7 linked regions of the Rattus norvegicus genome follow. The main gene of each other region encodes a partner of the protein of the gene in region 7 in a complex. Links are inferred from orthologs where the notes say so. Each region holds a gene or a part of one and is shown on either strand. Other genes may lie near its edges. The genes, in order: Meaf6, Ruvbl2, Anp32e, Epc1, Vps72, Morf4l2 and Ing3.

Evidence for each region.
Region 1: Ing3 (region 7) and Meaf6 share a complex: the UniProt entries of both Homo sapiens proteins name them as parts of the nuA4 histone acetyltransferase complex. The link is inferred for Rattus norvegicus from reciprocal best matches to the Homo sapiens genes ING3 and MEAF6.
Region 2: Ing3 (region 7) and Ruvbl2 share a complex: the UniProt entries of both Homo sapiens proteins name them as parts of the SWR1-like complex. The link is inferred for Rattus norvegicus from reciprocal best matches to the Homo sapiens genes ING3 and RUVBL2.
Region 3: Ing3 (region 7) and Anp32e share a complex: the UniProt entries of both Homo sapiens proteins name them as parts of the SWR1-like complex. The link is inferred for Rattus norvegicus from reciprocal best matches to the Homo sapiens genes ING3 and ANP32E.
Region 4: Ing3 (region 7) and Epc1 share a complex: the UniProt entries of both Homo sapiens proteins name them as parts of the nuA4 histone acetyltransferase complex. The link is inferred for Rattus norvegicus from reciprocal best matches to the Homo sapiens genes ING3 and EPC1.
Region 5: Ing3 (region 7) and Vps72 share a complex: the UniProt entries of both Homo sapiens proteins name them as parts of the nuA4 histone acetyltransferase complex. The link is inferred for Rattus norvegicus from reciprocal best matches to the Homo sapiens genes ING3 and VPS72.
Region 6: Ing3 (region 7) and Morf4l2 share a complex: the UniProt entries of both Homo sapiens proteins name them as parts of the nuA4 histone acetyltransferase complex. The link is inferred for Rattus norvegicus from reciprocal best matches to the Homo sapiens genes ING3 and MORF4L2.

Annotation. Positions count from the first base shown.
Region 1 is NC_086023.1:142,642,931-142,646,790, reverse strand, and holds part of Meaf6 (chromatin modification-related protein MEAF6), read right to left. Parts: intron 676-3,860; coding exon 483-675; intron 49-482; exon of another isoform or gene 1-48.
Region 2 is NC_086019.1:105,037,840-105,041,933, reverse strand, and holds the end of Ruvbl2 (ruvB-like 2), read left to right. Parts: coding exon 1-107; intron 108-183; coding exon 184-277; intron 278-417; coding exon 418-541; intron 542-867; coding exon 868-962; intron 963-1,046; coding exon 1,047-1,165; intron 1,166-2,541; coding exon 2,542-2,661; intron 2,662-2,825; coding exon 2,826-2,955; intron 2,956-3,135; coding exon 3,136-3,250; coding exon of another isoform or gene 3,251-3,337; coding exon 3,338-3,363; 3' UTR 3,364-3,447; downstream 3,448-4,094. Other genes in the region: Lhb (lutropin subunit beta isoform 1 precursor), read right to left, coding at 3,568-3,810, 4,039-4,094. UniProt on the Homo sapiens protein: Possesses single-stranded DNA-stimulated ATPase and ATP-dependent DNA helicase (5' to 3') activity; hexamerization is thought to be critical for ATP hydrolysis and adjacent subunits in the ring-like structure contribute to the ATPase activity.
Region 3 is NC_086020.1:186,159,961-186,164,619, reverse strand, and holds the start of Anp32e (acidic leucine-rich nuclear phosphoprotein 32 family member E), read right to left. Parts: upstream 3,029-4,659; 5' UTR 2,761-3,028; coding exon 2,707-2,760; intron 2,151-2,706; exon of another isoform or gene 2,078-2,150; intron 1-2,077. UniProt on the Homo sapiens protein: Histone chaperone that specifically mediates the genome-wide removal of histone H2A.Z/H2AZ1 from the nucleosome: removes H2A.Z/H2AZ1 from its normal sites of deposition, especially from enhancer and insulator regions.
Region 4 is NC_086035.1:59,286,576-59,291,114, forward strand, and holds the start of Epc1 (enhancer of polycomb homolog 1), read right to left. Parts: upstream 2,945-4,539; 5' UTR 2,737-2,944; coding exon 2,734-2,736; intron 1-2,733. UniProt on the Homo sapiens protein: Component of the NuA4 histone acetyltransferase (HAT) complex, a multiprotein complex involved in transcriptional activation of select genes principally by acetylation of nucleosomal histones H4 and H2A.
Region 5 is NC_086020.1:185,366,250-185,370,772, reverse strand, and holds the start of Vps72 (vacuolar protein sorting-associated protein 72 homolog), read right to left. Parts: upstream 3,136-4,523; 5' UTR 3,075-3,135; coding exon 2,958-3,074; intron 1-2,957. UniProt on the Homo sapiens protein: Deposition-and-exchange histone chaperone specific for H2AZ1, specifically chaperones H2AZ1 and deposits it into nucleosomes.
Region 6 is NC_086039.1:104,875,845-104,879,704, reverse strand, and holds part of Morf4l2 (mortality factor 4-like protein 2), read left to right. Parts: intron 1-2,116; 5' UTR 2,117-2,217; intron 2,218-3,289; 5' UTR 3,290-3,313; coding exon 3,314-3,860. UniProt on the Homo sapiens protein: Component of the NuA4 histone acetyltransferase complex which is involved in transcriptional activation of select genes principally by acetylation of nucleosomal histone H4 and H2A.
Region 7 is NC_086022.1:51,442,271-51,446,930, forward strand, and holds the start of Ing3 (inhibitor of growth protein 3), read left to right. Parts: upstream 1-1,540; 5' UTR 1,541-1,608; coding exon 1,609-1,636; intron 1,637-1,873; coding exon 1,874-1,945; intron 1,946-1,972; exon of another isoform or gene 1,973-2,155; intron 2,156-3,995; coding exon 3,996-4,096; intron 4,097-4,660. UniProt on the Homo sapiens protein: Component of the NuA4 histone acetyltransferase (HAT) complex which is involved in transcriptional activation of select genes principally by acetylation of nucleosomal histones H4 and H2A.

The sequences.
Region 1 (3,860 bases), on a different chromosome or scaffold from region 7:
AGGAGCTTTAAGTGTTTCCCCGTATCTGAAGGCAGCATACTCAGAGAACTACAAAATAGAAAAGTCATGACAATCAAAACCCATATTTAAAAAGTCAAAAAGGCATGTCAATTTAGCTCTCGAAGGAGCAGACGGGACCCAGGGCTGAGAGAACTCCATCCCAGATCACGGTTTCCCAACAACCAGAGTAGTTTTTCCGAGGACTCATTTCTACTTCCCTGTTTTCCTCTTAGCAGAGGACCCAAAAGCTCATGATGCCACATGACAATGGGAGTCACATTTCATCCTGGTGACTTCCCACTGATCCTTCAGGGCCTGTCTACGCCACCCACTCCTCCCTCAGAGGACTCCACCCCACCTGACTTGCATATAAGAATTTCTGCCACCCACAACCTGAGGGTTCTGCCACTGTCCCAGGCATCTCCACGCCAACCAAGTCCCGCCCAGCAGGTGAGGACTCTGGGTGGGACCCTGCCACTAACCTGTGCCGGTTTTTATTCTTCCGCTTTTTGTGGCTGCTGTGGTGGCTCCCTGAGGAGGTGGAAGAGGCAGCTTTCTGAGGCTTCACTCCCTGAACGGAGCCGTCCAGGTCTTCAGGGTCCTCCTGCGCAGGCTCGTTTTCCTGATTGTGGAAGTCTGGGGAAGTATCGCTTTCCGTCCCACTTCCTGGTTCCCCTAGAGGAAAGAGAACAGGCCCCAAAAGCCTGATCAGTGTTCCTGAGTCCCTGTCATCCACAAAGGTTTTCCCTTGAGGAACACGCGCTCAACGCACCAAAGCTAGGGAGTCCCTGAAGTCCACGTGGTCTGCATCAGCTCTGAGGACAGAGGTGACCGCAGCTCAGAGCATCGCCCTCTACATAAGGGACACTTCAATATGGGGCACGCTGAAGAGAGGCAGGGACACCTTGGCAAAACTGACAAACCATCAGAGAATCCCGTCTTTCTATAAAGAGTTGGTGGGGGATGAGCTAGAGAAATGACCCTGAGATTAAGAGCAGGTACTGCTCGTGCAGAGGACCAGAGTCTAATTCCCAGAAGCCATGTCATAAGGCTCACCTGCTGGAATGCAGCTCCAGGAGATCCAACACCTCTGGCCTCCTTGGGTACCTGCACTCACATGCACACACACACCCCACCCCGACACATACATATGATCTAAAGAGTAAATTCAAAAAAGAAAAGAAAAGGTACCCACTGGGAAGCAGAGTCTAGCCCATCCCTCAATTACTGAGGTCGTGGACATTTTTTTTTGGAGGGGAGACAGATACGGTCTCATGTGAATCCAGGCCGTGAGGTGAGTTCACAGGGCCTGTAGAAGTGAGAGGAAATCGATCTCCCAGAGCTGTCAGACACAGGCGATGGGAACCGGCCAGGGTCCTCTGTAGAAGCAGCAAGCGTCCTTAACAACCGCATCTCTCCGGCTCCCCCTCCTTTATCTTTCTAAAACTACATTTTGCTTATTTGTGTATATGTCGGGGTGGGGGTGCTGCAGCAGGGTGGTTTCAATGGACCTGTCCCCGCAGGCCCAGGGCTTTGAATACCTGCTGTCTAGGTAGTGGAGCTGCTTGGAGAGCGAATAACCTGCAGAAGGAAGCCACTAAGGCTGGGCAGGGGTGGGGGTCTCACCCCACTTCTTGCTCTCTCTCTCCTTCAAGTGCGACAAAATATAACCAGCCAGCTTCCTACACAGGGAACCCATTCTTGGACCATAAAGGAAGCCAAGATAAACTTTCCTCTGTAAGTCACTTCTGGTCATGGTATTTCCTCACTGCCATACACAGTAATTAACATCCACAGCAAGTAAAAGGAGGTCAGGGAACAGCTTAGGAGAACCGGCTCTCCCCGTTCACCTCTCAGGGAGCAGACTCAGGGTTAGCCACATGCTTACCTACTCAAGCATGAGCTTCTGGTCTTCCCGACCCCGGCTCCCGAGTGCTGAGATTACAGGGATGTCCCACCATGAGTTTTCCCCTGCCTTTGGCAATCTTGGGTACAGTAAGCTAGACCATCAGCCCAGGAATGCCTGAATGAAGTAGTAATTAATGTTCAACTGACATAAATCACCAGTTTCAAAACAGCATTTCAACAGTCAGGCTGGGTGGCACATGCCTATAATCCTGGCACTTGGGAAGGTGAGAGGACATCTCAAGCTCAAGGACAGCCTGGGCTACATAAAAAACTACTACTACTACTACTACTTCTTCTTCTTCTTCTTCTTCTTCTTCTTCTTCTTCTTCTTCTTCTTCTTCTTCTTCTTCCTCTTCCTCTTCCTCTTCTTCATCATCATCATCAAAATCACTTGGATATATTTACACAGAAGCATGCATGTTCAAGAACATCTCATAAATACTGTCTTAGGGTAGGGTGGCTACAGAGTAAAGCACTCACACAGCATGAACTAAGCCCAGGGTCAATCCTTGCACCCAACAGGTAGGAAGGAGGAAAGAAGAAGCAGGAGAAGGCAGGGCATCAGACGCAGGAAGCCCCAAGTCCATGACTAGCCTGAGCTACAGAAAAAAAGAGTTCCATGGCGTGGGCCCCCGCCCTCTGCCTTTGCTCCCCCCAGTGCTCGGGTCACAGCTGTGTATCACCATGTCCAGCTTCTGGAAACCATCACTAGATAAGGACAGGGAGAGACCCGAATTCTACTCAACTACTAATGGACCCAAATACATTAGTATTTGTCCCTAAAGATGGTCAGAAGGGTCTGTGTCTGCAGGAAGGTCAGGGGTCAGTGTTTTCCCTTCTGCCTTTACATTAGCATTTTTTAAATATGTAGCCACCAGAAGCAGCAGAGGCAAAAACAAAACAAACAAAAAGCAGAAGGAGGTTGAAACAGGAGAATCACCGTCAAGGTTAAGGCCAGCCTGGTCTACATATCAAGTTCTGGGTCTGTCAAAACTACAAAGGGACACCCTGTCTGAAAATAAAAAGCAGGAAGAGGGCTGAGCGGATGGCTCAGTGGGTGAAACATTTGTATGTAGTGCAAGGACCTAAATTTGGATTTCCAGAATCTACATAAAGCTGGACACAGACGCACACGCCTATAACTCATCTCCTGTAGGGTATAGGGTCCTAAGACGGGAAAATCCCTGGGAGCCCCGGGCCAGCATGCTGGCTTATACAATGCAGTGGAGAATAAGAAGAGACTGTCTCATCTCATGAAGGAGAGAAAAGACTAACATCTGAGGTTGTCCTTCAGGATTCACACAAGCACCACAAAGTACACGTGCACACGCACACACACAAACACAGAGAAAGAGAGAGAGAGAGAGAGACAGACAGACAGACAGACAGACAGACAAACTAAAAGATAAAACAGAGAGCTAGAGAGACGACTCAGTGGTTAAGAGCACTGACTGCTCTTCCAGAGGTCCTGAGTTCAAATCCCAGCAACCACATGGTGGCTCACAACCATCTGTAATGGGATCTGATGCCCTCTTCTGGTGTGTCTGAAGACAGCTACAGGGTACTTATATAAATAAGTAAATAATTTTTTAAAAAAGAAAAACAGAGGGATTGGGGATTTAGCTCAGTGGTAGAGCACTTGCCTAGCAAGCACAAGGCCCTGGGTTCGGTCCCCAGCTCCGAAAAAAAGAAAAAAAAAAAAAAAAAAGAAAAACAGAGAAGTGTTAGCACAGTAGCATCCACCTGTAATTCCAGGGCTGGGAAAGCCAAGGAGGGAAGATCAGGAATTCAAGACCAGCCTGAACTACATCTCAAAACCACAGTCAAACAAATAGCAAACACACAAAACGTAAAAGCAGACGAGACCAGCAAGAAGGGCGAGCAGGTGGAAGCGTCCCTGTGCAGACCTGAGACCACATGGTCGGAAGTAAATTTCTTGGTCGGGAGAGAAT
Region 2 (4,094 bases), on a different chromosome or scaffold from region 7:
GGATCCAAGGTGGGCAAACTGACTCTCAAGACCACGGAGATGGAGACCATCTACGATCTGGGTACCAAGATGATCGAGTCCCTGACCAAGGACAAGGTCCAGGCCGGGTGAGCCACGGGACCACAAAGAGGCTGGGCAGTGAGGGGAGTGGAACCCTCTTACTCTTTGCTGTTGCTCCTTCAGGGACGTGATCACCATCGACAAGGCCACTGGCAAGATTTCCAAGCTGGGCCGCTCTTTCACACGTGCCCGAGACTATGATGCCATGGGCTCCCAGGTGCTTGGCTCATCCCCAACCCAGCACTGGAGTGTTTCTCCATCTTCTGTTATGTCATGGGGTTGGATGCTGGGTTACCTCCCAGTGTGGGGCTCCAGGCTGTGTCCTGGCTGCCCTCACACCTGCCGTTGACCCTGTAGACCAAGTTTGTGCAGTGCCCAGACGGAGAGCTGCAAAAACGCAAGGAGGTGGTGCACACCGTGTCCCTCCATGAGATTGACGTCATCAACTCCCGCACTCAGGGCTTCTTGGCTCTCTTCTCAGGTCAGCTGCCCTTCCCCCAACACCTTGAATGCTCTGGTACATCCTTTGTCTCCCTCAGCGTGGCTCACCCCCACCCCCAGCTTTTCTGCCTCTTTCTTGGCGCTGTTAGCTTTCTTTACAGACTTGCTGCTTGTCTCTGTTCCCCGTCTGAGTGTGTCCTTCCCTACACTGCCCTCGAGTCCTCCCTCGGGTCACTCCCTCTGTCCTTTCTGGCCCTGCTGCTGCAGCCCAGAGCCCTCCTCCCCAGTGCTCCTCTGTCTCTCTCTTCACCCACCCCGGTCCTGGGCTCAATCTCTAATTCTAACTGACACCCCCATCTCTGGCAGGAGACACAGGGGAGATCAAGTCAGAAGTCCGAGAACAGATCAATGCCAAGGTGGCAGAGTGGAGGGAGGAGGGCAAAGCGGAGATCATCCCTGGGGTGAGTGGCCGCAGCCCAGGAGGGTATGGTTAGCCCTGAGGTACCAGGTGGAGAGAGCTTGATCTGTGCCCTAATGGCTTCCAGGTGCTGTTCATCGATGAGGTCCACATGCTGGACATTGAGAGTTTCTCTTTCCTAAACCGGGCCCTGGAGAGTGACATGGCGCCTGTTCTTATCATGGCCACCAACCGAGGCATCACCCGGTGAGCAGCTTTAGAGGCCTCTGCAGCAAGGGCACTCTGGGCCAGGGGTTGATGGTGGCCTCAAGGTGAATGACCATCTGCTGAGTTCCTCTCCTTACTCAGCTTGCCTCCAGTGTGGTCCTCACAATCCTGGACAGATAGAAAATCTCTTCAAGTTGGATTTAAACTTGTTGGAGCAGGCACCCAAAGGGCCCTGGGAAGTTTACCCTATGCTGAGCACGGGGCTATCTATTAGATATGTCACAAACTGCTGTGATCAGTCCGTCACTCAGACCCCGCCACTTAATCGTCACAGACCACATGTATTGACCTAAAGACACTGTGGACACTGGGCATGTCAGCTCCAACCACAGTCCTGGTAATATGGAGGCTGAGAAAGGACTCAGTTCTAGGTCAACCTGGGCTTCATGAGACCCTTTGTAGATAAGAGAGTATACAAACTGGTTTGGATAGCCAGACTTTTCCTGACGATGGCTCATGACTTCATCAAGCACATCACCTTGTCTCGTGTTTTTAGCATGGCGTCTTTGTTGTTGTTGTTGTTGTTGTTGTTGTTGTTGTTGTTGTTTGAATGTGGGGGAGGCAGTATATGCAGGTATGAATGTAGGTGTGGGCAGAATCCAAAATAGTATGGCAGGTCCCCTGCAGCTAGACTTAGAAGCAGTTGTGAGCTGCCTGGTGCAGGTCCTGGGACTCTCCCTGGGCTCCTCTGTAAGAACAGTATGTATTCTAACCATCCCTCCAGCCCCTCTTTCTTCTCTGACTTACTTTTATGTGTGTGTCTGTGTGTGTGTACACATGCATGTGGTACCCACAGATGACACAAGTTTTCAGGCCCCCTGCAACTGCAGTTAGGTGTAGCTGTGGTGAAGGCGGATGGCACACAGCCCTAAGAGGCTGGGACCTGGCTACCTTGCCTGCACTTCATTCTCCCCACTACTCCCACTTCACAGAGTAGATCAGCAAAGCTGAGCAGCTTGCCCAAGGCCATAGATGTGAAGGTAGCAGGGGGGAGGGGAGGCAGCCCTAAGGTCCCCTTTGCTAGTTGATGTTCACTGCAATTCCCCAGTCCCTGAAAGTCCATGAGTGGTAGGTTAGATCTGGCAGCTGTCCTGAGCCAGCCCCTGGAGAACAGTACTCTCATATCGATGGCTAAGCTCCCATGCCTGGAACAAACTGCCATGGGTCCCATTGCTCACCAGGAACTGGGTTTGCCAGGGCAGCAGGGCACAGGACAGCCGCTAGTGTGCACAGCTGCCGAGAAGTGTGTTACTGGGGATGAGAGCCAGTGCTCACAGTTACTGAGTTCCCAAGTGGGCTATGGTGGCACGTATGTTTTTGAAAAGCATCCATTAACAGTTTTCCCTGACCCCCAGGATCCGAGGCACCAGCTACCAAAGTCCCCACGGCATCCCCATTGACCTGCTAGACCGGCTGCTCATTGTGTCAACATCGCCCTACAGTGAGAAGGACACCAAACAGATCCTACGTATCCGGTGTGGCATCTGCCCCACACTGAGTCGGGAAAGATGGGGTGGGAGGCCCTCCTGTGCCCGTGGCTCTTTTAGCCTCACCATCCGTGGTTCCGAGACCCCAGTATCCATGCATATTATGGGATGGGTGGGTGATATGCCTGCCGTTTTGGCCTGCCTTCCCACAGCTGTGAGGAGGAAGATGTGGAGATGAGTGAGGACGCCTACACAGTGCTGACCCGCATTGGGCTCGAGACCTCCCTGCGCTACGCCATCCAGCTCATCACAGCGGCCAGCCTGGTGTGCCGGAAACGAAAGGTCAGCCAGCGAGTTAGCCTGGAGGACTGAGGGGTGGCCCTGGGGTAGCCCTTGAGCCATGGTACATGGATATTTAGTGGGGACTAAGAACCACAGCCGGTGCCCGGGCATTTTAGAGAAAAAAACCTAGTGGTGGGGGTGGCCCCGTGCTGACATCAGCTGAGCCCCACCTGCTCTCAGGGCACGGAGGTGCAGGTGGACGACATCAAGCGCGTATACTCCCTCTTCCTGGATGAATCCCGCTCCACACAGTACATGAAGGAATACCAGGACGCCTTCCTCTTCAATGAGCTCAGTGAGTATCCCAGGCTGCTGCCACTGTGGGAGGGGCTGCATGGGAGCACCCAGGAGCTCCCTCACATTTGGCTTCCCCTCTCTGCAGAAGGTGAAACAATGGACACCTCCTGAGCTGACACTGCACCCCAACCCTTCCCAGCCTGTTTTCTACAAGTTCTAACACTGTGACTTTGTATAAAATTATTGAAAACTGGAGTTCTGCTGTATCCTCAGATCACACAAAAGGACATCGGAGTGCAGTTGTAAAGCCTTTATTGGGAGGGATGGTTAGAACACCTGCTGGCTCCAGAAGAATGGGGAGTTAGTGGGTGGGCATCAGAAGAGGAGAAGGCCGGGGAGGTGGGGAAGGTCACAGGTCATTGGTTGAGTCCTGGGACCCCCACAGTCAGAGCTACTGAGACGGCAGGGCCCACAGCGGCAGCTGAGGGCCACAGGAAAGGAGACTATGGGGTCTACACCAGGTGGGCAGCCAGGGAGGCGGACAGAGGCGAAGCGCAGCTCACGGTAGGTGCACACTGGCTGAGGCACGGGAGGCAAGGCAGCTGGCAGTACTCGAACCTGAGTGCAGGGTGGAGAAAGTCCTCATCTGAGTGTCCCTCCCCTGTGCTGCGCCCCCTCCCCACCCCCTGCAGCCATTCTAGGCAGAATGCCCACCTGGTCCTGCCCCCACAGTAGCTGTGATCCCTGCCCAGGTGCCATCTCCCTGTACCCCACTGCCCCCACCTGTAGGACTGCTAGCAGCACTGTAGGGCGGAAGTGATGTCCATACCCATTTGGTCAGCTCACCATGCTAGGACAGTAGCCGGCACAGATGCTGGTGGTGAAGGTGATGCAGACTGGGC
Region 3 (4,659 bases), on a different chromosome or scaffold from region 7:
ACATATATACATATAAACATACATAAAAACAAAATTAAAAGTATGTTAAAAAAAAAAAAAAAAAGATGTGCTTCAGTTGTCCCTGTAAGCAGTCCTATCTAGCTGAACTTTGACTAACAAGTCCAGGGCCTGCTTCAAATCACTGAGGCAGAAAACCCAACTGTGAAAAAGGTCCTACTAAAGTATGTTCGACTGTGGGCAGGAGGCACTATCCTGACCTACACTTACCTGGGAAGGAGACGCAAAGCTACAAGGGGTAGCTTATCACTTTTTCAGTTTAATCCTCTGTATTTTTGGCTGATAAATGCCAGTACCATTCCAACCTTGTTACCCTTCAGAGAGTAACATCAGAAAGCTCCTAAGACAGCCCACCAGTCCCACTCTTGGAGGGAGGGGGAAGGAACTGGTTATCTGCATGTATGTCCGTGTACCCTGTGCATGCAGTACCCATGAAAGCCAGAGGATGGGTGGGGTGGGTGTTCAGTCCCTGGGACTGGAGTTACAGATAGTAGTGACCTGCCAAGTGGGTGCTGGAACGACTGGGAAGGACAGCCAGTGCTCTTAACCCCGTATCTCTGGGCTGTAAGTTTATCTATTTTTTTTTATGTGTATCCATTTTTTTCCTCATAATGTGCCCGGTGCCTTCAGAGGACAGAAGAGGAATCTGACCCCCTGGCAGCTGTGTGCCACTGTTCCAGTGCTGGCTCTTAACTACTGAGCCACAGATCTGAGATATAGTAACAAAACTCACCTGGTGCACCTCATCGATGTAATCACAAGGCAAAGCCTGTTCTCTATCCCCAGAGTGAAAGTGTCTATTTAAAGGTAAAACTCATCAACAACAACCCTCACCTTCTCTACTTGAATGTAACTCTGGCATCATTATTTGAATGAGCGGAACTTGTACAACGACATCCCTGGGATATCCACAGGGAAGCTGAGGCACAAAAGGTGACAGGTCACACCAACAGGGCCAGGTAGGGGCATTTTGGTTCTTAAATCTGTCTTGGTGGTTTTCAAGACAGGGTCTCTGTGTAGACTAGAATGGCCTCTAACTCACAAAGATCTGCCTGCCTCTGCCTCCTGAGTGTTGGGATTAGAGGCTTGTGGGACACTACCACCGGCTTGTTCGTTTGTTTTTGAGACAGCTGTAGTCTCACTATTTAGTCCAGGCTGGCCTTAAACTCAAAAAGATTGGCCTGCCTCTGCCTCGGAGTGCAAGGATTAAAAGCCTAAGCTACCACACCAAGCAACTCTTAAGCCTTTGGATTTTAGTCTTAGCCAGGGACCAAGAACTTGGCAAGGGTTGTAGATGTAGTGTCAGAATCCCAGCTCTTCAACTTCACTGCCTTTAGACTCCTATTCTAATCTGGATTCTAGAATACAATCCAGCTTACACGTTTCCCCAAGGAGAAATTAAATAAACGGGGTGCCTTATAAACTATCTATATAAACTTGGCTGTTACCACACCACACCAAATGAAGGAGACTGCAAAAAAGTCATCATCGAGCAACCCTCCAAACTGAAGGTGAAAGAATGGGGCAGAGGGGACGACCCACTTTTGCACCACAAGGTTTCTGAGAAACTGCTTTTGATTTTTTTTTTTTTTTTTGCCTTGTTTGACATGAGTCCCACTAGAAACCATCGTCCTACCTCGGCCTCCCTCCCAAGGGCTGGGAATTTCTTGATATGAGAAGTAAGGATTTACAGATATACAGAATTACAGATATCAGTCATCACGTCCTGCTGACAGCTTTCAACTTTTGAGTTTTTCTAGAATCTTCTATGAGGCTCTAGAAAACTTCTAGTCCTCGCAGAGATAACCCTCACAGCAACAATGTTTCCACCACCGCTCTCGCCTCAAGTCACAGGAACCCGCACACCAACCACGAAAATGAACAGGGCTTAAGGACCGGTGGCTCTGCACGATAACCGTGAAGGCCGGGCAGACGGCCGCCTTTGCGCGGGCGTCAAGGGACCACTACAGCGCGGACCCCATCCCTCGACTTCACGCCACGGCCGCGAACGAGCGAGCCCGAAACCCGCCCGCCGCCGCCAATCACCAGACCCGCGGACCTGGCGTGAACCGCAAGGGAATCCGAAGACGGGGGGCTCGGAGGCGACGCCTCCCGGGGCCCCTCCGAACCTCCGGACTCTTCCCTACCGCCGCACAGAGCGCAGCGCGGCTCACAGGAACCTGCCGCTTGCGTAGAAGTCCGCGCGCCACGCGGATCGCGGCCCGCGCCGTCGGGTCCCGGGATTCCGCTGCGGCCCCGGCCACGGCGCGCGCTGCCCGCGAATGGGCACGGTCGGAGGGAGCGCGGGGCGCAGATCGGCCCCGAGCCCCACGCCCGGGGCCGCGGCCCGCAGACTGGCGGCGCCGCGGGAAAGTTACACCAACTTCGCAGGTGGCGAGGGCCCGGGGGTCGCGCCCACGCCGCCCGCCCTCGCGAGGCCGGGCCGCCAGTCTGCGAGGACGCCATGGGGCTGAGCCCCCGCGCGCTCACGAAAATGCCCCTAGAAACTTAAGCCCTTCGCCATTTTAAGCACAAGAGCCTGGTGATTTAAAACTTAAAATAAACACCCCACCCCCACCCCAAGTGGGGGCGCGCTTCCCAGCCCGCCCTGCGCACCCACCCGGAGCCCCGAAGCCCACCCCTCACGATCCAGGGAGGGAGGGGAAGATGGGGGCTGAGTCATCTCACCTCCTCCGGGGCTCTGTTCTTCAACTCCATGTTAATCTTCTTCTTCATCTCCATGTCCTCCTCCTTTCCCCTCGCCTGCCCTCCCCACTACCCCCAACCCTAAAAAACCTCTAAAGGTCTGGAGATGAATGAAAAGAGACGCAAAGACGAACGCCCACTACCACCGGGGTGTGGGAGAGAAAGAAAAGAATAGCAAATGGAGTCTGACGACTTGGGACTAACTCGGCTGCCCCCACCTCCTAGTCCACACACCCGCGCGCGCACACTCGGGCACGCACACACTTTCACACACAGAGAGAGACACGCGCGCGCCCGCAGTTCCTTCCCCTTCAATGGCTGCTGCGAGACTGAGCCTCCATGACACGGCACCGCCAACCCCCCCAGCCTATACTCCACCCACCTCCCAACGGGATTGGCCGAGTCCTTAGCGTCACACTACTCCATTGGGCTAGAGGATTGTCCATTTGTCTTTAGGGGGGACCTGGACCAGAAACTCAGTGTCTATTGGCTCTGACCAAGCGCGCAGTTAATTCCGATAGGTCCGGGAAGATGTACGTCCCAGAGAAATGATTTTGAATCCCAGTCGCCCCCCTCCTTTTCTTTGTGTGGTTGGCGCGCTTTCCTTCGGTAGTAGGACGGTTTGGGTGTCTGTTGGGTTTGTTTTTGTTTGTTTGGGGTTTTTCTGGCTTCAGGGTTAAAAGGAAGGGAAAAGGCGTCGTTGGCGTTCCCAGGTTGTAAATGGGTCATGCAACACACTGCACTCAGAGCTTTCGGTGGTCTTAAAGCACAAGCCTTCTGCCCTGCGGCTGAGGTGTAAGCATGGGCGCAAGCACGAGCAGCGTGTTCGTGACACCTCCCCGTCCAGAACTGCTTGTAGAACCAGAGCGTGATAAAGAAGGTATTTTAACTTCCACCGTAAAAGGCGGAACGACTCTGAAAGCAGTTGAGTTTAGCACGTTGAGTCAGAAGCCTTTAAATAAAACTGTCCAGGAGGAGTTGATACTGAGGTCATTTGTCACTGCTAAAAAGTTGGAATATTAGAGCCAGGCGTGGTGTGCATGCCTTTAACCCCAGCACGCCCAGAGGCAGAGGCAGGTAGATCTCTGAACTCAAGGCCAGCCTGGTCTACAGAGCCAGTTCCAGGACTACACAGGAAAAACAAACAAAACCCCTGTCTCCAAAAGACAAAACAAACAAAAAAGTTGGCACCTTAGAGGAAAAACAACACAATTCTCAGAAGCCGCACAGCAAGGCCTTTCCTTTCCTACAGGAACCTACTTAAAATGTTCTTTTAAGTGTGGGTCTGCAGAGGCAATGGCCTCTTCCACAGGACCCTGGTTCGATTTCTAGCATCCATGTGGTGGTCCATAATCATCCGTAACTCTAATTCTAGGGAATTCAGTAGCATCTTCTGGACTCCACAGGCTACAGGCAAAGATGTGCTGCATGTACACACTTGCAGGCAAAACACCCAAATACATAAAAACAAAATCAGTGAATTTAAAATAAAATAAAAAAACACCTTTTTTTTTTTCTGTTTAATGCTCCTGTAAGACCCGGATAATGGTACATTCCTTTAATCATAGCCTTCAGAAGGGAGAGAGGCAGGCAGATTTCTCCAGACCAGTCTACTCAGTAAATCCAAGGCCAGCCTCTGTCTCAAAATAACAACAAAATTATTTCTTTTAGATTCCTTTTTCTCTGCTTCCTGATTGAGATGTGACCAGCTCCTTGCAATTCCTTCTGTGATGGGCTCTACTTAGATCTGTGAACTAAAACAAACCCTTTCTCTCTTTAAAATATTATTTTTATTTTCTTAGGGGGCGGGGGGAAATACAAAACAGGGGATCCTTATGTAGCCCTGGCTGTCCTGGAACTCACTCTGTAGACCAGGCTGGCCTCAAACTCAGAGGTCCACCTGCCTCTGCCTCCTGAATGCTGAGATTAAAGGCG
Region 4 (4,539 bases), on a different chromosome or scaffold from region 7:
ACACACACACACACACACACACACACACACACGGCATTTTAATGAAGTCAATTTTGCTACTTGCCACTACTCCCTCTGACACAATGATATGCAAAAAAGTGTCAATTTGAAATGACACAGCAAAATTGTGAAAGACTAATTTTTGATTGTCCATGATCTAGCAATTGCTGCCATGAAAAAAAAGAATTAGTTTTCTATATATTACATTTTTAAAGGATTTTTAATGATAAAAAAATTGGCTTTATAATTCTGAGTGTAACCACACCAAACTCATGCACTAAATCATAAAATGCTGTCAATTAAAAAGAAATAATTCCCAAAGAATCAAGAGCTATGAGGAAGCAGCGGGTACATGTGAAAATGGAGACTAATATAAACTAGGGAATTATCTTCGCCTCATAGATTTAAACCTCTTTACTTCCACAGTGATGGCAAGGTCACATCTAGAAGAGTATGTGTGATAGAAATGTCTGAGTGATTTTCAGAAGTAACGATTGAACTCTAATGGTTACTTCATAATCAATGATGTAATAGTCAGGAGGAGAACAAAGAGGACTGCATAGCCACGGATGGACTTCCCAGCTGGGTTTGCTCTTAAAAGGGGTGACATTAAACAACCATAGCTAGTTTCAGAAATTAAATAAAATGAAAATCACTACATTATGGAGGACAGAATATTTTAGCAATAAACGTGCCGGAAGGAATATTTTATTCAGATGATCAACTTCAGAGAGCTAAAGCCTCCAGCATCACCAGGTTAGACAATATTTACACCTGCAGTATTTCATTCCATACATAATCTATACTGTCAGAAGCCACACTTGAAGCTGCATTTAGACTTCACAAAGAAAGAGAGAATGAACTACGCTAGTGAATACTTCCAAACCTTTTGAGCATGCTACAAACAAAATCTAAGGCGTTGGGCTTGTTTCTTCTGAAGTTGAAGGAAGGAGATAAACAGATTCTAGGAAATACTATTTCTACTCCTGTTCACACATTCTCTACTCCAGACTGTTAAAGGATCAGTGGAAAGGGCATTTACAGATGTCAAAGTAAATAAAGACTCTTGACTCCTGACACGACAGTCACTCTCTCAAGACATAACCTGTTAGTCAGATAATCCAAATGCTGTTTCAGTTTTCACTTTACTTGGTAAACAATGCATTTCAAGGTAAATTACAGATCCCTCCTACTTTCTTTTTGAACTGAAGACATCTTCACAAACAACTAAAATGTTTACAGAGACCAGTAAAGCCGATGTCATATTGTGACATATTTTTGTTTTTGGCAGGCTTTGGGCCTAAATCCCTTAGTCTCTAATCAGATAACTCTCAAGAACAAAGATATAACACCTCCTTAGAAATGTATATGTCAGTATTTTTAAGTAAAAAAATATGTGTGCAATATTCTTAAAAAATTATCTTGTTCCAACAACAAAAAACATTTGCTCATTTTAAAACAAGGCTGTCTATAAATTCAATCCAAGGGGGGCAGCTCAAAATAAAACAGACATGACACCCTACCAGATCACTCTCAAGACAGATTCAGAATACATATTTGAGAAATCCCTTGATTCAAAAATGAAATTCAACTTTTACAATGTCCAAAGAACTAATACACAAACGTTTTGTTATACTGAAACGGCGCTAATGGGCATGGTTTTGTAAGACAAGAAAAGCATCCATGGAGGAGAGGGCAAAGGACAGCTTATTATTAAAGAATCCGATAGAGATAATAAATGAGATGAGATGGAACATAACTGCCAACTGAATGCTTGTCCATAATGTCCCCTGGATTGGCTGTGACGACATTGTCTGTTCTCACCATGGTGCACAGTCCACAGCAAACACTTAAATAACACTGCTGACCAAATTGAACTTTCTCTACGAAAATTAAAGGATAATAGATAAAATCTTGCCCCACCTTTTTTCTTCCTTTTTTCTTTTAGTAAAACTGACAAATTGTTGAGGAGCACTACAGCGCCACCAACACAGATCAGTGCAGAACAAAAAAAAAAAAAAAAAAAAAAAAAAATCTCCCACCGTGTGCAAAAAGAAGAAAACTAGAAAAATGCCAAAAATTACAAAATGTCTCCCAAATGTAGCTTTCCGGAGAAAAAATAAGATAGATCTGCAGAGACGAATCGACAAAGAGCTTTAAGGAAATCACATCCTAGACCACAAGTTAGGTCTGCTCAGCAATAAAAGAGCCACTATTTAGCAACAGCCATAACTTAAACCCGGTTAGTCAATCTCCGCCTTCATTATACCAGAGCTCCTTTCTGAAGTATTCCATCAAGGGAATCACAATAGATCTATTTTAAAAAACCAAAACAAAACTACAACGGTAGTTTGCTTGTTGGTAATTTACTCTGGACAAATTAGGCAATAGATAATTTTTATAAAGAGGATACGTACATATTTGGCACTACCAACATTCCTGGCACACAAAAAAAAGTCCATCTTGAAACATCTGAGTTCCCCTTTAGTTCACAGCAATTAAAGTATAATTTTCATTATACATGTTTATCTTTAACAATGGAGAGGAAAACTATTTTTTCCCCTTTTGGGAAAAAAAAAATTATCCAGACAAAATTAGGTGGAACGTGCAGAGATCGAAGCTAAAGAAAAATACAAAGATTGGTTTTGTGAGAAGAAACACAATGAAAACCTCTCTTATCTGGTGCTCCTTTCGAGGATGTAATGCCAAGAATGTTTAAAATTATAAACTTACCATCGGTGTAGGCAAAGCAGCAGCTAGCTCTCAAAAAAAAATTGTAACAATATAGGCTGAGGTCTGGGCTGTCCAGAAAAAACAGCCTCCGGGCAGCGTACGGGTCTTCAAACATCCTGAAAATATTTGGTAAATCAAAAGTGAGACTTTCGTCCATGGAGGGCGCGGAGCGGGGCGGGCAGCCGCAGGATCCGAGGGCGTCGGGGGGAATGGAGCAAGCTGGAGGCTGCGGAGCGGGCGGCGGCGGCAGGCGCGGGGTTAACAACTCTGCGCTGGCGGGCGAGAGGGCGGGCGCGCGCGCCCATTGGCTGGCGGCTTCCGGGCTCCGCCCTCGCTCCCGCCTCCCGCTGCTCGGAAAGAATGCGCGACTGTGCCATTTTAAACCGGCTCGGGAGAGCGCTGCTCCCCAGACTTTGCTCGGGGATCGGGAGTAAGTGACTAGCACAACAATGGCAGCAGCCGTGTCCTCCGAGCATCTGGGCACGCCCTTGCGCGCGGCTCGTTGGGGCTCCACTCGAGACGTCCGTGTGGGACGTGGATGCGGCCGCGGCCGCTGGGAAAGATGCCTATCCGTGGGTTCTCGGTGTGACGTTCCCGAGGGCCTCCTGAGGCCGCGAGCACCACGCGGCTCGAGTGTCCCTGCATTAGCCTCGAGTGAATCCTGACATAAGTTGAAACCATATTCAGCTCCCCCACCCCCTCCCATTTCAACGCTGCTCTCAAACCCCTTCCTGGCCGGCCCAGTTCTACCGCTCCGCCCTACAAACAAAATGGCTGAGGTGCCCAGTATTTTGGATCCTTCCACCCGGCCTCCAGGAAGTGGTAGAAATTCAAAATAAATTAAGCCCTAAAGTACACCCTTGAGTGTGAACTCCTTACCAACCTTTGCTGCTGGTGCTAGCGGGAATGCCCTCTTTTTTGTTCTTTTTCTTCTTCTTCTTCTTCTTTTGTTTTGAAAAGAACATCAATCATTAGGGATTTACTTGATTGTAATTTGAACCTCCTGTTTTACATATTTATAAGGTCTTTCACCTAACTTGGCAGGCTTTCAGATTAAGTGGGCTGGGAAACACGATTCTTTCTAGTTGGGCGCTGAGTAGGGCTGTTTCAAACAGGCTTTTCTAATACAGTCTGAAAATTAAACGTAAAAATGTTAAAGGAATCCAACACTTGTAATTGCAAATGTAAAGTCCCCAAAGTCGGCTAATATCAAAGTGTTTCCATAACTTAAATGTGTGAACTAAATGTATCCACTGTGCAATTAATTCCTTGCCAGAAAATTTCTAATGGGCCAACGATGAAAGAAAATACCAAAGGATGAAAAAAAAAAAAAAGATAGAGAATAGTCCACATTCTTCAAGACACTTCCCTCCCACACCCACTCAACTCACCCCACACGGAGGTCTGATATACTGAATATTTAATAGGCACCTTTAAAACTATACCTAGGGTTATTATCATACTCACTGTCTACAACAAGACGCGGGGGGGTGGGGTGTGCTGTTAATTACAGGACGATTAAAATAAACAGGGCTTGCCTCCAGTAAACCAGAGGGCTGACAAAACCAGAATTCTATGAGACAGGTAGTGACCCACAGGCTTGGGGTTAACTTCAGTAGACTGAGCCAGAGTCTCCATCCAGCATCTATATTTTGCACCTGATCTGAAGTAGATAACTGGGGTAGACCTGGATTCACAAATATTTACCGAGTAGCTATGATTAAAAACAAAAATCTGGACAGGAATAGACTCTCATGTAAGTGTACAGATAGGTCCTTTTTTATTACCTATAGGCTAGACTGTTCT
Region 5 (4,523 bases), on a different chromosome or scaffold from region 7:
TTTCAAAGCCAATAAATAAATTTAGGGCTTATTCTGTAGGCCATGAGGCTCAATTACCTCATCTGACTTATCTCACTTGTTGATCATCACTGTAGAGGTACAGTTGCTGAGAGAATCTGTCCTTCTTCATGTGCACTGAGACAGAAGAATATTTGAATACCACTATAGATAACGGGATCCACTCACGTGTATGTCCATGGAATACTGCAGAAAGCTATGGGAACTGGGAGTTAGAAAGGCCTAAAGTGCAACCTGAGGTAATATAGGCTAAGGTGTCAATGGCAGCTACCCTGGGAAGGGGTGTCATTGTGAGGGGACGTCAACTGGGCTTGGCATATGCTCTCTCCTCTCAATCAGGGACACGACCAATGGATTAATGCTGCCTAAGCAAGCATATAACAAAGGACTGATACTCTAAGTTAGGCAGCACAAATGACCACCATTCTTCTGACAAATGTCTGTGAAAGTGACTCAGAACACATTAATTCTCTCGGCTCTGCTCTGGGATAAAGCATCACCAGACGGCAGAGCAAGTTCCCACTGTGCTCCTGCTCAGTGTCCGTGTTTTACCGCACTGTGGACTTTCTGTCATTACGCTGGGCTCTTCTCCAGGCCTTTAATACACAGGAGAACGTTCTCTATCAAACCCCATTACTTCAGTTGGACCCCGTATAAGTAATAAGAAATTCTCCCTAGAATTTAGTGCTAAATAAATTTGTCTTTCTTGAGTATACTGTATACTTCGGTCTTACAAAAGAACAAATTTAGTTTGGCTGCTAGAAAACTCACAGCTATCAAATGCTATTTCCATTTTAACATGGATTCTTGGTAAAATTACTTTTAATTATATATATATATATATAGTTTTACTTATTTATTCATACATTAATACATTTTGTTCTGCTCATTTTCTATTTTTACTGTTTCTAACCTTTGTTTCCATTGTAAGCCTTGTTACATATCCTTTCTGGAAGCATGAGGTGCACGTATTAAATAACGACTCATAAAATGACAGGAATAGGAAGTGAAACTTGAAGGATGAGAGAGATCTATTTTAAACTAGTTTATTAAAGCTGTGTACATAGTGACTCCTGGTTAGTCATAAAGTCCTGTCTACTCTCTTTCCAAAATCTTCCCTTCAACCCTAACACTATCCCATATCCACCTCCATCCACTCTGTGGTGCTGGGAGCTGGAACCTCCAGCTAAGCTAAACAAGATGACCCTGAGCAAGTGTCATGCCCAGCCCAGCCCTTGTCCTCTTTAGGCTTTACTCATTTACTCATTAGGGTTGGTTGGTCTGTAAGGCTGAGTCAGGATGGAACTGGAAACACAACCCATGTGGCCTGGAACCGGAGGTCATCTTCCTGCACCACCTCTCCGAGATTACCAGCACTAAAGAAATCTTTCTAACCAAAAATTTAATGATGGAGCTTTGATGCTTCATTTCAGACCTTTTTTTTTTTTTTTTTTTTTTTTTGGTTCTTTTTTTCGGAGCTGGGGACCGAACCCAGGGCCTTGCGCTTCCTAGGTAAGCACTCTACCACTGAGCTAAATCCCCAGCCCCGATTTCAGACCTTTAAATGAGAAGTCAAACTGCTTAATACAGCTTCACTATGACCTACAAAATCTGACTGGGAGGTGGGAAGGGAAATCCAAGGGTAGTGACAAATACTTACAGTTACAGGACTCAGGAGTCTGAGGCAGAAGGGCTACCTAAACTTTGAGACCACGTGTAGCAACCCTCTTTAAAATATATATTTATATATGGTAGTGGTGAGACCATTCAGTGGTTAAGAACACTGGCTATTCTTCTAGAGGACCTAGGTTCAAATTCCCAACACCCACATGGTAGCTCAGCACTGTCTGTAACTCCAGTCCTAAAGGCTCTAGCACCCTCTCACAGACATACATGTAGCCAACATCAACACACATAAAAATAAGTAAATCTAAAATATAAAAAATAAATTAAAAATAAAAGCAAGAAAGCAAACAAACAAAATCTATGTAAGGCCAGGGGTAGAGGCACTCCAGAGGCAAAGGCAGGGAGGTCTCTGAGTTCTAGGACAGCCAAGTCTTCACAGAAGAACACTGAGTGGGTGGAGGTGTCAGGTCAGGGGTGGAGGCACCTTAGCTGGCCATATGGTGGCAGAAGCAAGTTGCTGGGTTTGTGTCCTTGCGATCACATGATATAGAGGCTGAACTCCAAGTTGCCCTTTGAGCTTCCTATGCTGGCACACAAACATAATACAACTTAAAAGACCAGGCACAACCCTCTCACCTGTTAGAATATAAGTCTTTATCATACAGTCTTTATCGTACAGTATCCTCAAATTGACTGTGATCCCAGGCAGCTGCCCTGCAGGATAGAGCTTGCTTTTATTTATTGCTAGGGGCCAGTAATCCAGGATCTAGGGCAAGTGATCGACCGCTGAACTACAATATAGTCCCAGCCTCAGGAAGTTTTTAATGTTCCCAAGGAGTCCACCACAAGCTATTAATTATATATGGTATGCTGATCTGGGTATGCAATATATATTCAATCAATGAACAGCTTCTATTAATAAAAATATAGCTAAGTGTCAGCCCTGTACTAAAAAATCGAACTCTGTTACAGACCTTAAAACCAATCAGAAAATGAGAAGTAAACCGAATCTAACTGCAAGCTGAAATTTTGTTTCTATGATGGAAATTAAATGGGGATTCTCTTAGGACAGTCAATAAAGGGTCATCTAAGAAAACAGTATGCTGTGATTTGAAAGCTGAAAAAGAGAGTATGCTAATTAAATCTGTTTCTGGACCGGGTCCTCACACACACGCACACGCACAGCGTCCACCGCCAGCTAGGAGCACATCTTTCCGAGCCTTTCTCAATCCCCGCCCCCTTCCTCTTTGTCTAGGGTTTTTCCCTACAAGACTCCGCTTCCTCGCCTCCCTCTTCTTGGGCCCGGCTCTTGCCTCAGTGAAGCCCCCGTAAGTCGTCTGGTAGAACTCATCTTCCTCCTCTGCTTCCAGGAGCCCAGAAAGCCGGTTTCCAGCGGTTTTCCGTGGGGCTCGGCCCCCAGCCAAACTCATACCGCTTACAGAGACTGCGCCGCCGCCAGCAGCCCCTTACCCAGCTCCGGGTTCTCGCCGATCAGCACTCGACACTATTTCCTGCGGGCGACCGCCAATGACGGAAGTCCGGCGTCTGCAAGCAAAAGCAGTCGAGCGTCGAGCACTCGACGCCTTTTCTTTTCCTCGTCTTTTCCCCTTAGGTAGCTCCTGGGATACACTACCAGGTTTCCTCCTCCTTACCCATATTTTTTATTGTTTGTTTTTCTACAGACAGGTTCTCTCTTTACAGTCCTGGCTGCCCTGGACTATCTATGTAAAGCAAGCTGCACTAGAACTCGTATAGATCTTCCTGCCTCTGCCTCCCAGTGCTGGAATTAAAGGTGTGCCGCCTCATAGCAAGCTCCTTTCCCTCTCCACTCCCTCTTGCTTTTTAATTCTCCTAGAAGCCTTTCTAAAAACCCTGGCCTTGGGGCTGGAGAGATGGCTCAGCAGTTAAGAGCGCTGACTGCTCGCTCTTCTGGAGTCCTGAGTTCAATTCCCATCTACTGGTGGCTCACAACCATCTGCAGTGAGATCTGATGCTCTCTTCTGGTGTGTCTGAAGAGAGCAACAGTACACTCACATACAATGAATGAATGGATAAGTAAATAAGTCTTTAAACCAAAACAAAATATCCTGACTTTTTAGTTCCCTTCCTCTAAAACTTCAATGGCAGTCAGACCTGTATTCTCATCAATGGGGTAGGAGAACCACATGTTCAAGACCTGTCTAAGTAATTCAGCAGAATTTTGTTTCAAATTTTAAAAAGTAAAAACGAGTCTGGGGGTGTGCTTGTTAAGCTTTATGTGCCCTGATAGGTTATTTCTCTGCTGGTGAAATGATCCAATTCAAGCCAAATTAGATTATATAAAAGGCAGGTTTATTGGGAAGCCACTCTTAGGCAAATTCACTGACCACAAGGGTTGAGGCCAGGGGAGTTACCATTGGAAGAGAAGGGGGACAGGGAGATAGAAAGTATGAGTGCAGGCAAAGAGAAAAGAGTGAGAGACAGACTGAAATGTTTACATTATGTAGGGAGGAGCTTCTGGAGGAAGGGCAGCCCAGTTCCTGGGCTGGAAAGTTCAAGGAGCATAGTAGATCACGTAGGGACTGAGCAATGGAAGTTCCAGGCCAGCCTCAGCCATGTAGAAAACTCTTGTCTCAAAAACAAAACAAAACCACAAGCAACTAAGTACTTGGCCTAGCATTCCACACCTTTTTAATTCTAACCCTCAGGATGCAGAGGCCAGGAATCTCTACAAGTTAGAGCCCGGTCTACATAGCAAGTTTCAGGCCAACCAGGGCTATAGTGTGACCCTGTTTTAAAACGATAACAAAAACAAGTAGCAGCAGCAATGTCAAAAGTGTGATGTTTGAGGTTTATAATCCCAGCATTTGGGAAAGAGACTGAACTGGAAGATCTGGACA
Region 6 (3,860 bases), on a different chromosome or scaffold from region 7:
AGACACTAAGAGCGCACACTTCAAGTCTTACAACAACAGAAAAAAAACCATGGTGTTTGTTATGGATCAGTGTGAAACAGGAAGCACCCTAATAGAAAAGGAAATAAAAATACCCATGGAAGAACAAAAGATCTAACCAGTGATTGTATAAAAAGTGGTTTGAAATCATACATATTCAAATAAAGATGCCCCACTACAAGTTAGATTAGCAAGTGAGTTGGGGTTTTTTGGTTTTTGTTTTTTGGTTTTTGTTTGTTTTTTTTGTGGTGAAAGGGGTGTTTGAAGATTGAGGTATAGTTGAATTAGTAAAATGCTTGCTTATCTTTAGTGTGGTTGAAGATGGAAGAATGAACTTAACATGGTTTTGGCTAGGAATACATATTAAAACAGTTCTGAGATAAATTGGGCTACATCACAAAAGCTTCTATGTAGGCAACTACCTTTAATTCCTCTTGGAATATATCCTTCAGAGATAACTTACCTAGTGGTCTTAATATAGTTATGCATTGATGTCTAGTATTGGTTCTTTTTGTAATAATGACATTTGGAACACTGTCTACAACAGTGGAGCTGGGAGCATTAAAAACCTTTAACATCAGACACTAAAGAGCCCTCCAAGGGAAAGCATTGGTCAAAAATAATTTGAAGAGATCCTAGAAAATGATAAATTTACCAAGAGCCAACTCAAAAGGACAAAGGCATATACAAATGGGGGGGTAGATTTCTGTTAACACAGGTGCAAATTGGACAACAATAAGTGTCTTTTAAAGCTATTGAAGGTTGGCAATGTAACTCAGTGGTAGAGCAGAAAAGAATGAAGGTTAGCTTGCTGATGCTTACCAAAGGGTGTGCTGTGGTGTGATTGCTCATTTTAAGTTAGAGTTTTTGAAGGGTAAGCAATTTAGCACCAGGGTAAAAGCCTTAAATGTGTTTATACCTTGCTCCGCTAAATAAATCAGCCAGGAGTGAAACAAATGTCATGGCCTAAAAGGTGTATTTCATAACCTTAACATAACTATGGGAACATAGTTTTCTTTCAATGATTTTTTTTTAAAGTGAGAGCTAAGATTTAATAATACGTGCTTACCTCACAAACCTAAAAAATGATACTTTTCTGGATTATTCTTGAGCTAACTTTAGAGATTGATTAGAAAAATTTTCTACTAGTCTCTGTGCTTCTGCAGAAGATCCAAGGTTATAACACAAGCCCTGTGGTAGGACTTTTATTGTATTTAAGTGAGGGAGAGGAAGTCTGGAGTAGAGTAGGTATGCTAACTGAACTGAACAATGTTTAGTAGTGGGGGATTGGAAGGAAGGACCCACAAAGTGGATTCAAAATTTTAGGACCACACTATGTGCTAATAAGTTCCTTGGTAAGGAAGTACTGATGACCAAGGCAAATGCTCTACTACTGGCTTACATCCCCAGACCTCAGCAGCCTCCAAAACACCTGCTTATTTTAGTAGGTGTTGATCTCTTAAGAAAAATGGGTTATGGTCCTCCAGAGCACTGTAAACAGAAACCCACTCCCCATTCACACATGGATTTTGTTTTTTGAGGTGGTCCTTGGTAAATTAAAGCTGGAATGCCATCCTTTACTCGGGGAAGGGGGTACCCTGAATATGTAACAGACTCATGTTTTACACATTTGCACACTCATTTAAGACAAATGGAATCACACTGTTAATAAGAGCTGTGCTACTAACCCATTTACCTAAGGACATTAAACAGTTTTCAGTGTCAGTATGTAGATAGGCCTCTGCTTAAGTCACTTGGGTATTCTGTAGTGTGCATGTGTAATTTGTATCACCCTTTCCCTGCTGAAGCTGTAAATGTCTGCAGTTCCTCATTGCTCGTGCTACTTTAGTGAACCGCCCTCATTCACATGTAGAAATGGTCATGTGCGGTACTATGCTAGCTGTTCAGTAACATGACATTCTTATAGTAGCCTATAGCAACTAGGAATAGTTTCTTGTGCTTGAATATACATGTCTTCAGTTCCATTTTGCAGATCACACACTATTTTCCTTCCTATATGTAAGGCACATTTGTAACTTTTTCTTACATGATTTTGTAAAAGTTCATCTTCATTGCATATCCCTACTTTCCTTTCTAGGTTGTATTCCCACTTCATCTTTCCAGACCATCCTAGGAGATCTGTAAGATTCCATCTGGGAGATTACTAGGAATCCTTGGAAGGGAGAGAAGGAACATTGTGTAAGTCAAGGGGTTGTCGAATGAGTCAGCCATCGAAGCAGGAGGCTTGTTTTTTAATTCATTTTCACTGAATATTGTTTCTCTTGAAACTCAACCTCTTTATCTTCCAAAGTCACATATCTTCTTACTCTCCGATGGAGGGCTCACCATTTAATCTGTGGTCTCTTGCTAACTCCTCAAATACTTTTTTGTTCTTTACATTTTCTGGAATTCTATGTCTGAAATTCTGCCTGTTTTTTCTTCAGTGAAGAGGTTCACTGGTTCATAGTGTGTGCTATAAGCTACACGATAAGAAATCTCCATTTCTTTACTCTGAGTTTGAACATTCTCTCTTTGAGTGCACACTGAAGATAATAAAAAGTCCAAAACTAATCACCTTTCTCCTCTAAGCAGTTTATATAAATACCATCTCATTTGATGGTGATGGTCATCCATCCTTAAAGCCTGAAAGTTGTCAGTAACTCCTTTCTCAGTTTCTCATCTCTTCTAAAGTTACTAAAAGAGATCTTTTATGCATGTAACTATCAGTGGACTAATCTTGTTTTCTGACAGTGTCAGACAAATCCTTAAAAAAAAATCTGTGCTTTACTAAAACTACCCAGGCTCAGTCGTGCAGAGCCCATTTTGACTCTAACCTTTGATCATTGCATTCCTCTGTGTGAATTCTGTGCCATCGAACTACTCAAGGCCTACCTAGACCTGTATACACAAACCTTTTCTGTTAATTCACCTCCAACTTCCTTATTCCTTTCAAATTCTTATTCTTGTTCCAAAGTCTTGCATTTCAACTCTGCTTCCTTCTATCTCTAAAATTTCTCTAAAATTAAATCCCTATCTTTTAAATAGCATCAAGAGATATATTTGTGGGCGTGTTTATTGAATTATTAGGTGAGGCAAGAGTTGTGGGCATTAGGATAGAATTTTGAGATAGAAAACAGAAAAGCATTTATAAATGGTCCTCTGAAATAGGACCTGAAATCTATATTCCAACAGACTTTAGCATATGTTGTGGTCTGATGGGTCATAAAATCACCATAGTAAACAACCAAATACAATACTTTATGTATTACAGTGGTTGGAATAAAAACAGGGTTGAATGAGTTCCAGAAAGCAGGCTTCTCAAACTCGTGGACAACAATCTGCTGAAGAAGACAACTTTAAGAAACCCACTCGCAGCAATATGCAGAGAAGTAAGATGAGAGGAGCTGCCTCAGGAAAGAAGTCAGCTGGTTCGCAGCCGAAGAATCTTGATCCAGCCCTCCCAGGAAGATGGGGAGGTCGCTCTGCTGAGAACCCCCCTTCTGGTTCTGTGCGGAAGACAAGGAAGAACAAGCAGAAGACTCCTGGCAACGGAGACGGTGGCAGTACCAGTGAAGTCCCCCAGCCTCCTCGGAAGAAAAGGGCACGGGCTGACCCCACTGTGGAGAGCGAGGAAGCATTCAAGAGTAGGATGGAGGTGAAGGTGAAGATCCCTGAAGAATTAAAACCATGGCTGGTGGAAGATTGGGACTTGGTTACTAGGCAGAAGCAGCTGTTCCAGCTCCCTGCTAAGAAGAATGTAGATGCCATTCTTGAGGAGTATGCCAATTGCAAGAAGTCACAGGGAAATGTTGATAATAAGGAGTATGCCGTTAATGAGGTTG
Region 7 (4,660 bases):
ACTACATAACTTAATTTGGCCCTAAGTTTGATGGTGTCTTGCAGCAAAGTTGCAGAATCAAATGCTAATATTCTCTAGCAAAACTCAATTTTAACTCCAGCCGTGAAAAATCTTCACATTTATATCCCCCAGAAAAGTGGATTCAGAGGTAAAAACCTCAACCCAGATGAAATTAGGCCCTGTGAGCAAATGTGGTTGATTTTGAAGAAAGAGTACAAATAGACAAATAGTTTTTAGTATGGAATTTAAACTAAACAGATGTAGACTACATATATTTAACATTCAAGTAATAAGAAAATGGCTTTAAAAGAGAACAAATGAATAAAAAAGTGTCATTCTAAATAAAATTGTACTATAAAAATATACAGAGTAGTGAATAAAATGCATCATACTGATTTTTTTCTTTTGTATGAGATAGGGTCTTCCGTAATCTACGTTGGCTTCTAAATGCCTATGTTGCCAAGGCTCACACTCCTGATCCTCCTGTCTCAATTCTCCTAGTTAGGGCATTACAGGTGTACGCCTCTGTAGTCTAAGAAAGGATCATTTCCCCCCAAACACAGAAGTATTTATTTAGTGCACGATTTTTTATGAAAGGTATTTTAAGACAGAAACGGGGCCGCGATACACTAATTATACCAACATTTGCTAGGGTTATTAAAAGAGCCTGCCCAGAATTATAAACCTTAGCCCAGCTATTTACACAACATAAATTCACGTCATTGTTAGTATATGCCAGCAATGCATTAAATCACCAAAATTTATGGATGGTCGTTATTTATGTATTTATTGCAGATGCATTAGAACAGTTGTTTTACAATGAACACAAGATACACTGCAAACATAACTGGCTACTGCATACAATTTTGAGTATCTTTTAATTTGGGGAATGCACATTCCCTCCGGTCTCACTACAAATTATCTTAACGTTGCAGGGACACCAATCACTTGTCCCATTTATTTATCAGGAGTGACTTATGAAGATTAAATTCCAGCAGCGAGTTCTGTTCTAAACAATCTGAATTTTCCGAACTTAGCCGATTATTCTAGCGTTTGGAATCTTTGCTATGTGCCTAGCACAGCCAGAAATCCATGACTCACAAACGGCGGGCTTGGAACCACAGCACAGAACAGGTGAAAAGTTGTTCCTAGTTGTGTCAGGCAGGCGCATACAACTCCCGTCATCCCCTATGCAAGAAATCAACAAATAAACAGAGTCACCGCATTTCGGATTCTGGCGTGCCCGTTTCGCGCAGGCGTGTGGTTTCTGTAGTTGCCACTCTAAGAGACAACCACACTGGTGGCTACGCTCGGGGAAAAAGATGACTACATTTCCCAGAACTCCGCGGAGATCCGCACCGGCCGGTTGACGTCATCGCTCCAGACAGCCAATGGCAACGGCGGGCGGCAGTGAGGCAAGCGCCGTCAGGCGCCAAAGTGGAGCCTTTTTTTTTTTTTTTTGCTTTTTTTTTTTTTTTTTTTCCTTTGCCGGAGTCGAGCGGGTGCTGCTAGCGGAGGCGCCATATTGGAAGGGACAAAACTCCGGCGACAGCGAGTGACACAAATAAACCCCTGGACCCGTTCGTCTCCGCAGCACTCAGGGCCGCGATGTTGTACCTAGAAGACTATTTGGAAAGTGAGTGCGCGGCGCCGGCAACGCGGCGGGCGGGATCGGCGGCGGGCGGGAGCGCGAGTGGCCGGGCGGGCGGGATGGCGGGAGGGAGGGGGAGCGGGGGATGTTTCTTTCTCACGGTAACTGGCAGCCTCGTTGTGAGCCGCCCCCCCCTCACGCACGCACGCACGCACACACGCGTGACGCCAGCGCGTACCTTCGCCGTTGGCCCCGCCCTCTGACGGACTGTGCCTTTGACAGTGATTGAGCAGCTTCCGATGGACCTGCGGGACCGCTTCACGGAGATGCGCGAGATGGATCTGCAGGTGCAGAGTAAGTGGCGCGTCTCCACGGCCCCGCGCAGCCCCGGCCTCCCTCGGGCATCGCCTGGCGGGTCCTCCGCGCTACTTTTTTCAGGCTGTTACAAGGAGGCGGCAGGCACACCATACCGTTAACACGCGGGGCACAGCAAACACTGTGTTTGTGTACTGCATGGAGATGACGACACTGCACCGCAGTGGAAACTCGCGTGATTTTCAGAAGGTTTGCACCTGAGCCTGTATGTGGAACTTGGAGTTCTGCATTCAGACTTAAAAGTTCATTACATTCCTAATTTCTCAAGAGCAAAGACAGAATGGCAGGTTCTGTGCAGCTGGTTAGGGACCCTAGTGAACTTGGAAGGCCGAACTTTGACAAGTTGCGTATTAATAGAAGACACTTAGAGCTCTCAACAGCGTGGTCATTTTCTTAGCCAAAAAAATGAATGAGAGAAATCAGATTTTGCCGAAACCATCCTATTGCTTTTTAGAAAAATGTAGACATTTGGTAGGATGTCCTACTCATTTCTTTCTTGTTTTCTAAACACAGTCAAGTAGTTCAGGCTGGTCTCATACTTACTATGTATCCTAGGCTGGCTCTAATCTCCTGGTCTTCCTACTTTTGCCCACCTAGTGCTGGGATTACAGGCATGGCTAGCTGTCAGTGCTTGGCAGTTTTATGTGTGACTTGTTTCCAGAATGAACCTTGTTCTTTTGAAAAGCTAGACTGAAGAGGCTCAAAGGTAACTTGAGTTTGCTAAGGGCTTGTTCTTATCATTCTTGGCCCTCTGTCACCCCTCCCATCATTTCTATACCTTTTGTCCCCGACTATACTCATCTCAGTCTCTGGGTCATCTCTTGGGGTTCATTGCCCTGTAGCCTGTCATAAACCTGTGACCAGTATAGGCATGCTTCTTTTTTTGACTTTAAGGTAGTTGCAGTAATAAACATCTGCTGAGGCACATTCCAGAGGGATTGAGTAGAGCTTGGGGGCAGACACACTTGGGTTCACTCTCGGAGGACTCCAGTTCCTTATCTTTAATGGCTGCATTGCTACCTTGGGGGCTTGCTTACTCCCCCCCCCCCCTTTGTAAACAGACAGTCTTCTGAGCATTTAAAATAATACAGATAATTAGGATGTATAATACCCATTACAAATAGGTTTAGAATAAACGATAATTTAAAATATTTTCAATCATTCAGTTCTTTAAAATTCTGGGATAGTTTGGATTTGGTCTATACATGTGACAGTGTTTTCAAGTTTACTTCTACTATAACCCTGGAGTTTTCCAAAACAGTGAGTACACATTAACAAAAGTGTCAGCATGGGTACCGTCAGCAAATGCAGCTGGAAGTAAACTGTGTTTGACAATCAAGATTAACTAGAATGTCTCACCATCTTCTTTAAAAAGCCATCCTGCACTGAAGTTGCTTAAATGATGAATATAAATAGTGGTCAAGTTTTTCTCCATTTCCACCACAACAAAATCCCTTTGATTTATTTTTTAGCAGTCTTCCACTGAGGTCATTATTTTCGACCCAGGCCTTGGCGAACCTTTACATAGAATGAATAGCATGTGTGTGAGTGAGTTAATGGTGTCTCAAGTGAGCAAACAGTCACATACATCATACCTTCCTACGAGAGGATGTGATGAGGTGCTTGGCGCTCTCTAGCAAACATTGACTCTAGTGTCACAATTCTTATTAAAAGAAGTCTGAGAACTTTGCAGCAGCATTGTCAGTAAGCAACTCTGATTGCCATAACCAGCTGACGTAATGCCATTAGCTTTGATTTCAGTGCTGTGCTGTTCCAGGGTCGTGGCCTAGATCCTTGTCCATGTGGTTAACGCTGCCTTGGTTATTGGAAATTGTTTTGAAATAGCAAAGTCAGTAGAGAATATTTCAGCTTTTTAAAGCTAAGGTAATGAAGGCATTACTGCTCATAGCACAAAATGCATATAAGCCACTAGCAAACTAAGACAGTACATTGTTGTTGTCAGACATCTTTTCTTTCCTCAAATCAAAGCAGCTGGGTCGGCTAAGTATGAAATGTTTTATTATGTCAGATGCAATGGATCAACTAGAACAAAGAGTCAGTGAATTCTTTATGAATGCAAAGAAGAATAAACCCGAGTGGCGAGAAGAACAGATGGCATCCATCAAAAAAGTAAGTGCAATGCCTTCGATGATTGTCAGTCACATGGGGACCCTTTGGAAGGGATATTAAAATTAGGGAGATACCTGGATATGGGGTGAGAGGCTTGGGGGTGCTTGTTACATTTTAGAACAGCAGCTCTCAACTAAGGGGACGAATGACCCTTTCACAGGGTTGCCGGAAAGCACAGGAAAATACATTACGATTCATACCAGTAGCAAAGTTATAGTGACTCAGTAGCAGTGAAAGTAATTTCCTGGCTGGGGCTCACCACAGCATGAGGGCCTGTGTCAAACTGTTGAAGGGTCACAGCATTCGGAAGGTAGAAAAGCACTGGTTTAGCGCTTCCTGTCATTCTGAGGTTTAGCTAGTGCTGTGGGACTTACGGCTGTCCTGCAGATTAGATTACAGATTAGAAAAACTCACTGAGTTGTGCATATAGGATCATCTGTCTTTAAGGGTGCACTAGGAACACAACTTCAAAGATTTGACTTTGGTCCTCACTGCCATGTAGCTGTGTGACTTGGGTCAAGTCTTTTAGTATGAGGAAGAATAAATCCTTACACCCAACCTTTA